2 linked regions of the Macaca mulatta genome follow. The protein of the gene in region 1 purifies or fractionates together with the protein of each later gene. This does not show direct contact. Links are inferred from orthologs where the notes say so. Each region holds a gene or a part of one and is shown on either strand. Other genes may lie near its edges.

Region 1 (4,045 bases):
CCCAGTTACTCTGGAGGCTGACGCAGGAGAATCTCTGTCTCCTGGGTTCAAGTGATTTTCCTGCCTTAGCCTCATGAGTAGTTGGTATTACAGGCACCTGCCATCGTGCCCAGCTAACTGTTTTATTTTTTTATTTTTTTGAGACAGAGTCTCGCCCTGTAGCCCGGGCTGGAGTGCAGTGGCCGGATCTCAGCTCACTGCAAGCTCCGCCTCCCAGGTTTACGCCATTCTCCTGCCTCAGCCTCCCGAGTAGCTGGGACTACAGGCGCCCACCACCTCGCCCGGCTAGTTTTTTGTATTTTTTAGTAGAGACGGGGTTTCACGGTGTTCGCCAGGATGGTCTCGATCTCCTGACCTCGTGATCCACCCGTCTCGGCCTCCCAAAGTGCTGGGATTACAGGCTTGAGCCACCGCGCCCGGCCCTGTTTTATATTTTTAGTAGAGACAGGGTTTCACCATATTGGCCAGGCTGGTCTCGAACTCCTAACCTCAAGTGATCCGCCCACCTTGGCTTCTCAAAGTGCTAGGATTACAGGCGTGAGCCACGATGCCCAGCCCTCACACAGCTTTAAATGCCAACCTTGGGACAGTGACTTCCAAATGAATGCCAACCTCCTCTGGGCTCCAGACTCACATAAACAAGCTATTGTCATGATGTTTCCACTTGGATTTCCAGTGGGCACCTCAGATTCACTGCGGAGAAAATGAAATTCTTGATTTGTCCATTCTACACCTACTCCTTTCCTAGTTTTCCCCATCCTAGCTGCTTAGAGAGACAAGAAAGACATGTAATCAATTCATTTCTTTCTCTCACCCATTACAACCAAGTAATCTCACTGGCTTACTTCCAAAATACATCCCTAGTGCGATGTGGTGGCTCATGCCTGTAATCTCAGCACTGTGGGAGGCCGAGGCGGTCAGATCATTTGAGGTCAGGACTTCAAGCCCAGCCTGGCCAACATGGTGAAAATCTGTCTCTACTAAAAATACAAAATTAACAGGCAGTGGTGGGGCATGCCTGTAATGCCAGCTACTCAATAGGTTGAGGCATGAGAATTGCTTGAACCTGGGAAGTGGAGGTTGCAGTGAGCCTAGATCGGGTCACTGCACTCCAGCCTGGGAGACACAGGATTCCTGAGTGTTTAAAAAAAAAGAAAAAAATCTCAAATCTGACTATGTCTCCCCCAGCATTCTGCCTCCACCAGAGTCCAGGATGTTGTCATCTCTCAACTGGTTACATCCCCAATCTCCTTGTTAGTTTCCATGCTTCTACACTGACTGACAATTAAATCTCCACCTGGCCATCAGAGGGTACTTTTCAAACATGAATTTGGCCACGACACTGCCCTGCTTAAAACAAACAGCTTTCCATTGAACCTGGAGTCAATGCCAAACTTCTTACCGTGGCCCATAAGGTACCACACTTTGTGGCTCTGATTGGTCTCTCCAACTTCTTCTTCCCCTACCCTGGCTCAATAAGCTTTAGGCACTCTGGTGTGCTTCCCGCTCTGCAATTCCTCATTGGTTCTCTTGTGAGTATGTTGAGGAAGGGGTGAAACAGGAGAGACACAGGATAAAGAGTGGATAGGACATGGTGGCTGCTGGTGTGTGCACACAGGAAAGGCTGGAAGAGGCCTTTCCCAGAAGTGGGGGCTAAGCCCTGCTCCACTCACCATAGCAAAGAGGTTGTCATAGCCTTTGACCTTAGTAGGCACCTTTGAGAACTTCTGGTCAAAAGCATCTGAGATGTTGTGAGCTGGGTCTGTGGAGATGATCAGCACACTCTCACGCCCCTTGGAGAGCTGGACTGCCAGACTGCAGCTGGGTAAAGGAAAAGTAAAAAGACAGGGGATGAGGGGTTGGGCTCTGTTCCCTGGGTCTGCAAGGGTAGTGGTAGTTTCCCTGGAGCAGGTGACCCGGATCAGCAGGGGCCTTGAGAGGAGAGTATGGGTTACGGTGGGATTGAGCCTCAATCCCTACAAAGGAACCCTCTCTGATTTATCTACTGACCCTTCTATGTGGACTAGAGAGATAAGGTTCAAATGACTGAGTATGTCTGGCCTAGTGCCTGCTGCTTCTTTGCTGGGCACACAGTGGCATGGCCCAGCTGTCCAGCCAGCATAGCTTGACTCCGTGCTCCCTTCTTTAATAAGCTAAGGGATCCCTTGCACTCCCTGGTAAGCACAGGATGGTTCGGTCCACTTGTCCAGGATAATCTGCCGCATGGACACCTCCTGCCTGTAGCTGCCTGGGACAGTCTGATCATGTGCCCTCTCCCTCGCTTTCCACCCTCACTCTCGCCTTGGACATAAAACACCAAGGTTTACCAAACTAGGATTGCTTGTTCTGGTGCCGCCCCTACCCACAACTCTGGATTCACTCAGGTACGGTCCAGCTGATGGGGACATCTAAGTGCTTCCCCGTCCCCCGGGCGCTGCACTTGAGCCCCAACATGGATGGTCCAATTCAGAGGGTGCTAGGGCTGCATTGAAGAGGTCTTTCTCATGTGCTCCAGGTAACTTCCAGAGAGTGAAACCCAAAGACCCCCGCCAGCCCCCTTGCCCGGGTCGTGGTGGAAAAGCCGGTCCTTGGCCTCCCCTTCGCCCAGTAGTATATCCTACACGCCTCCTGGCCCCCGCCGCAGCCTCCTTACCTGCAGGTGGTCTTGCCCACTCCACCCTTGCCCCCGACGAAGATCCACTTCAGGCTGCGCTGCTCGATGATATTGCTAAGCGTAGGCTCCAGCGGCTCCACATCAGGCGCATCTTCGAACTCCTCTGCCTCAACCCCCCACCCGGCCACCCCTGCCGCCATCTTGGAACTGGCTCACGTGATCCAGCGGAGCGCACCATACGAAGCACCTACAGGGGAAATTCTCTATCACATTCCTATCGAGGCTAGAAGCATAAGTTAATTTCCTCATTACTTCCATTTTAGGAGAAATATAAATTACATTTTCACTATTCTTTGCTTCCAGGGTTCACCTTGTCAACCTCTGGTCTATAATTTTCCAAGGGCTCCCCCTACCTAATGAACACATCGGTACGGTCCAGGCTACTCCCCTTCACTGATTGGGCCCTAAGTCTCGCAGCTCTCCTTTCATTGGCTACATCTTTTCTTACGTCCACCAATCACTCTCATGCTCCGGTAGCGCCAACCTCTCCTTAGCAACCAGCCAAACACCCAGTCCATGCCCTTTCGGTGAAGTTAGATTCCCGGTCCGCCTTGGCCTCCATAGGCTCAACTTTATGTCCATCATTTTCCCTCTATTATTCACGTTAGGTCCCAACCTCGCCTCAGGTCCGCCTCCTCTATTATTCAATAGGCTGTGAGCCACTTGGCTCTTGCCGCAAACCAATCATAGACAAATTGACTCAGTTGGCTGGCTATAGGTCCCCGGGCTGACAGTGGGTTAGAGTGGGCGAGTCCAGAGTTTTGTCCTGGACGCCCTGATCTCCCATGCCTAGCAGGCACCATGCCTGTAATTGCGCTCCGTTTGGTAGAAGGGACCCTAATTCCTAAAAGCCGCCTTGTATTTCAAGAGAAGACTCCAGTATACCATATTTCATGTTTGAACCTCTGTCCTGGAGCAGGAACACAAGCTGGGTTCCAGGCCCTTGATGGAGACCCCAGCCCATGACACTCTTAACTTTAGAGGGAGATTAGAGCCTAGAAATAACCCCAACTTCATCTGAATACTACAGCTCATAAACTAATCTGATTCTCTGGCCGGGCGCGGTGGCTCACGCCTGTAATCCTACCACTTTGGGAGGCCGAGGCGGGTGGATCACCTGAGGTCAAGAGTTCAGGACCAGCCTGGCTAAGATGGTGAAATCCCGTCTCTACTGAAAATACAAAAATTAGCCGGGCGTGGTGGCACGCACCTGTAATCCCAGCTACTCAGGAGGCTGAGGCAGGAGAATCGCTTGAATCCGGAGGGCAGAGGTTGCAGCGAGCCGAGATTGCGCCACTTCACTCCAGCCTCGGTGAAAGAGTGAAATTCTGTCTCAAAAAAAATATTTAATTAATTAAAAATAAATAAATA
Region 2 (4,125 bases), on another chromosome or scaffold:
TTCTCCCAGCTGCTGCTGCAGGTCATCAAGCCCTTCAGCTTTGTGCTCCTCCTGGGCGGCCTTTTCCTGGCCTATCGCATGGGGGTCTTCATCCTGGCAGGCGTCCGGCTACCTATCGTACTGGTGGGTATCACAGTGCCCCTGGTTGGCCTGTTGGTGGGCTACTGCCTGGCCACATGTCTGAAGCTGCCTGTGGCCCAGCGGCGGACGGTCAGCATTGAGGTAGGGGTGCAGAACAGCCTGCTGGCCTTGGCCATGCTGCAGCTATCCCTCCGCCGCCTTCAAGCTGACTATGCCTCCCAGGCCCCCTTCATTGTGGCGCTGAGCGGCACCTCCGAGATGCTGGCCTTGGTCATTGGCCACTGCATCTACAGTAGCCTGTTCCCAGTTTCCTGAGGCCTCTGGGTCAAGCTTTCATCAGCCCCAGCCCCCACACTCCACCAAAGTTCTCATGCACTATGCACTCAGAAAAATCCAGGCTTATTTTTTTTACTGATTTTTTATTCTCCAGCTTTCAGTGCCACAGAGGCCATGCTGAGTTAGGTAGGTGGGCGCTGCCCAGAAAATATATTTCAATAAAACAGAGAAGCAAGCTTGGGTCCCTTCTAATCTTTGCCCTTTGGGGCCTGGGCGTGGGGGTAGAAAGAGTGTGCTGGGTAGGTGTGGACCAGGGTGGAGGGCCAGCTTGGGTGACACGGTGACCCCTGCATAGGCTTTCTCTATCAGCCCTCCCGGGGCGTGTCCCCACTGTAGGAGAGGTGGGAGGATGAGGGCAGAGGCTGGCCCCCCTACCCCCTCTCAAGCTCAGTGGGGTGTTTCGCAGCCAGACCAGAAAGGAGGAGCCAGAAAGCCACCAGGCAGGGAGCCGGCGGGGGGGGCGCCGTCTGTGGGTATGCAGGGCCAGGTTCCGCCAGCAGTAACGGCGCGTGGGGTGGTCCAGGCAGTCTGCGGGGGCGAGCGTACCTTCTGGTCCTTCCTTCTCCATTCCCTAGCTCCCAGATGACGCCAACCTGGCCCGACTAGTTCCTGCTCCCAACTCCCCGGCGCTGTTGCTTTGGGAGGGGTCCGCCGGCCAGGGCGGTCGCTGCGCGTGTGCTAGGCGGGACCCCAGGGGCACTCCTCCCGGGGTGCAACTGGGCCGGGGGGCGGGGCCGGGGCGTGGACGAGGCAGGAGGGCGGGGCCGGGAAGCGCGGGCGGCGGGCGCGCCCCTCTCGCTGCTTCCGGCGGCGGCGGGCGGTTCCAGCGCGCGCCCGGGGCGGCGGCGCGCGGCGGGGGGTGGTTGGGGTGCGCGCCGGCCCGAGTGGACGCCGTCGCGACCGCCATGCAGCTGACGGTGAAGGCGCTGCAGGGCCGGGAGTGCAGCCTGCAGGTAGGGTCCCCGGGCCGGGCGGCCGGGTCCGGCGCGCTCTCTCGCCGGCTCCTGGCAGGGTGACCAGCAGGGCCAAGGGCGGGCACGGGGCGGCCGGGCCGGGGACTGGGAGCCGGGAGAGCTGCCCTCGGGAGCGGACGCGTGGGCTTCGCCGCCTGGGGACCGCGGCCTCAACCCTTGCCTCCCACCCTCCGCGCGGCCAGGTGCCGGAGGACGAGCTGGTGTCCACGCTGAAGCAGCTGGTCTCCGAGAAGCTGAACGTCCCCGTGCGCCAGCAACGGCTGCTTTTCAAGGGCAAGGCCCTGGCAGGTACCCAGGGAGAGGAGACGCCCAGGGAGCCCCGCAGGAAGCGGGACTGGGGTGCGCGGGCCGAGGCCGGCAGCCGTGTAACGGGTTGGGGTGCCGGCGCCAAGCGCCACATGACCCCAAGGGAGGCGGCCGCATGCCTCACTGCCGGATGCCGCAGCGCTCCGCTCCCGCCGCCCGAGGCGGTCTCGCGTCCCGGGCCACCCCCACGGCGGCGGAGGAGGAGGAACCCATCGATCTGTCTTTGGCAGATGGGAAACGACTCTCGGATTATAGCATCGGGCCCAACTCCAAGCTCAACCTAGTGGTCAAACCCCTGCAGAAGGTGCTACTAGAAGAAGGCGAGGCCCAGAGGCTGGCCGACTCCCCACCCCCGCATGTCTGGCAGCTAATCTCCAAAGTCTTGGCCCGCCACTTCAGTGCGGCAGATGCCAGCAGGGTCCTGGAACAGCTACAGAGGGTGAGAAGGGTAACCCTGGGTATCCTCTCCAGGCCCAGTTCCTCCCAGCCCCTACCTCTGTTGCAGTGTATGGCTCCCCACTGGCAGCCCCTGAATCTTCCTGCCCTTCTCTCCCCAGGATTACGAGAGGTCCCTGAGCCGCCTGACGCTGGACGACATCGAACGGTTGGCCAGCCGCTTCCTGCACCCTGAAGTGACTGAGACGATGGAGAAAGGCTTCTCCAAATAGCATTCTCGGAGCATGGGGAGGTGCCCAGTGCCAGGCCACAGCAGCATGTCACACTAAGTGTGTTCACCTGTTGCAGTTGGGCTCATAATAATAGCTGGCATGTACCTGGCTCTGGCCACGTGCTAGGCACTCCTCACAGCTTGACCTGGGTTTGCTTCCACACCCTCAGAAGAGGTGAGCCAGCACAGCAGAGGCACTGGCGGTGAAGTGGCGGAGCCCCAGTCGGAATCCAGCGGCTTCTGAAAGTGCCTTGGTGTGAGAAGGAGGAAGGGGCTGCTTGGAGAGCTGGGCTCTGGCATGTCATGTTTAGCCCACTGAGAATATACCCTCAGGTGACTCCTTCCCAATCCTGAAAGGGAAAGCAGCTGTCACCTGACCTCTGGCGGGTCCAACATAGCCTTCAGCTTACCTCTGCAGGAGGCCAAGTGACAGCCAGCCCTGGAACCACCACACCCCCAGCAGCTGCTGCAGCCAGTGTGCTTTCGACAAATGAAAAAGCAGGTTGGGGCCAGGGAGTCAGCAAGTCACCCCAGCTCTGTGATGTGACTTCGGGGGAGTCTCAGTGCCACTTTGGTCCCCAGCCACGGACTTTATACAGTGAGGGCCACTCCCCGACCTGAGTCAGTGTCCTTCGTCTCACAGTGCCCCCCTCCCTTCTGTTCAGTAAACAAACTGAAGCCAAAAGCGAAGCAGTGGCCAAGTGTGACCCAGAGATGGGGTGTCCTGGCCCTTAGTGACACAGCTCCTCTCTGGGCACCCTGTCTGCTTGTCTCCTCCAGGAAGCGTTAGGGCTGATGGGTGACTCAGCAAGGCAATGTCAGAACTGGGGCTGGGCATAGGCCTTTGTCCTCGTCCCCAGCACTCGCCTCCCTGTGGAAGATGAACACATCAGCCACCTGTGTACAGCCGCTCACTTCGTGTGCTCCTTGTTGCCTGAGAGGAAACCTTGGGGTGCCAGGGTGGGGACAGAAACATGGGCTGGGTTCCGGTTCCTTCTCCACTGTGCCCTGTGCATGGGCACAAGAGGACATCTAGCCACCTGCTCCTTGGAGGCCCCCAGGGGTGGTAGAGGCTAGAAGGAAGCCACAGCAGGAGGACGCCACTCTGGGCCCTCCACCCTTGCCAAGTGAGCCGCTCACAGTGTGGTCGGGGCTGCACGTGCTGGAGGCCCTCCTGCCTGGGCCTGATGGGGCAAATATTGGGTCCCCGGGCTGGAAAGATGGACAGAGGCCCAATGGGTGAAGGCTTTGAAGAGCACACAGAAGCCCCTGGCCCCCCACGAGAGCTGGAGAGCCATGTATATGGCTTCAAAGCCACCTATGGCAGGGACACACTTGTGAGCATGGGTGGCCTGCAGCTCAGGTGATACATTTACCAGTGCTCTTGTTTGCGTGGTGCCAGGAAATTGATTTTGGAAAATGAAATAACATTAAAGGTGAATGTGAGACTTCCACTTTTATCCAAAAGGAGCTATATTAGCTAGGCTGTTTCTGATATCCAATCATTGGTTTAACAATAAAGGCAATTTGTTTAATCAGTAACGGAAATTTCTTGGCTTATGAAAGTGAAAAGCCCAGTGGTATCGGCATTGGCAGCAGGGGAGCAATTCTTCCAGTGTCTTCCTGCCTCCCTCTGCGTTTGTGTCTGCCACATCCCAGGCCACCACCTCCAAGGATGAAAAGGTGGCTGCCTGCAGCTTCCACAGAATCCCTCCCTCACTGCCTCACTGCCAGAGCAGCACCTTCTCTGTAGCACCTCTG

What was found. Proteins that work in one complex are often made in the same cells at the same time.
Region 2: the proteins of GET3 (region 1) and UBL4A purify together in Homo sapiens (affinity purification with mass spectrometry; 4 studies listed by BioGRID and IntAct, with this or other methods). This does not show direct contact. The link is inferred for Macaca mulatta from reciprocal best matches to the Homo sapiens genes GET3 and UBL4A.

The regions. Positions count from the first base shown.
Region 1 is NC_133424.1:13,293,237-13,297,281, reverse strand, and holds the start of GET3 (ATPase GET3), read right to left. Parts: upstream 2,824-4,045; 5' UTR 2,815-2,823; coding exon 2,654-2,814; intron 1,822-2,653; coding exon 1,674-1,821; intron 1-1,673.
Region 2 is NC_133426.1:160,668,936-160,673,060, reverse strand, and holds the start of UBL4A (ubiquitin-like protein 4A), read left to right. Parts: upstream 1-1,314; 5' UTR 1,315-1,322; coding exon 1,323-1,370; intron 1,371-1,573; coding exon 1,574-1,679; intron 1,680-1,927; coding exon 1,928-2,136; intron 2,137-2,254; coding exon 2,255-2,365; 3' UTR 2,366-4,125. Other genes in the region: SLC10A3 (P3 protein), read left to right, coding at 1-396. UniProt on the Homo sapiens protein: As part of a cytosolic protein quality control complex, the BAG6/BAT3 complex, maintains misfolded and hydrophobic patches-containing proteins in a soluble state and participates in their proper delivery to the endoplasmic reticulum or alternatively can promote their sorting to the proteasome where they undergo degradation.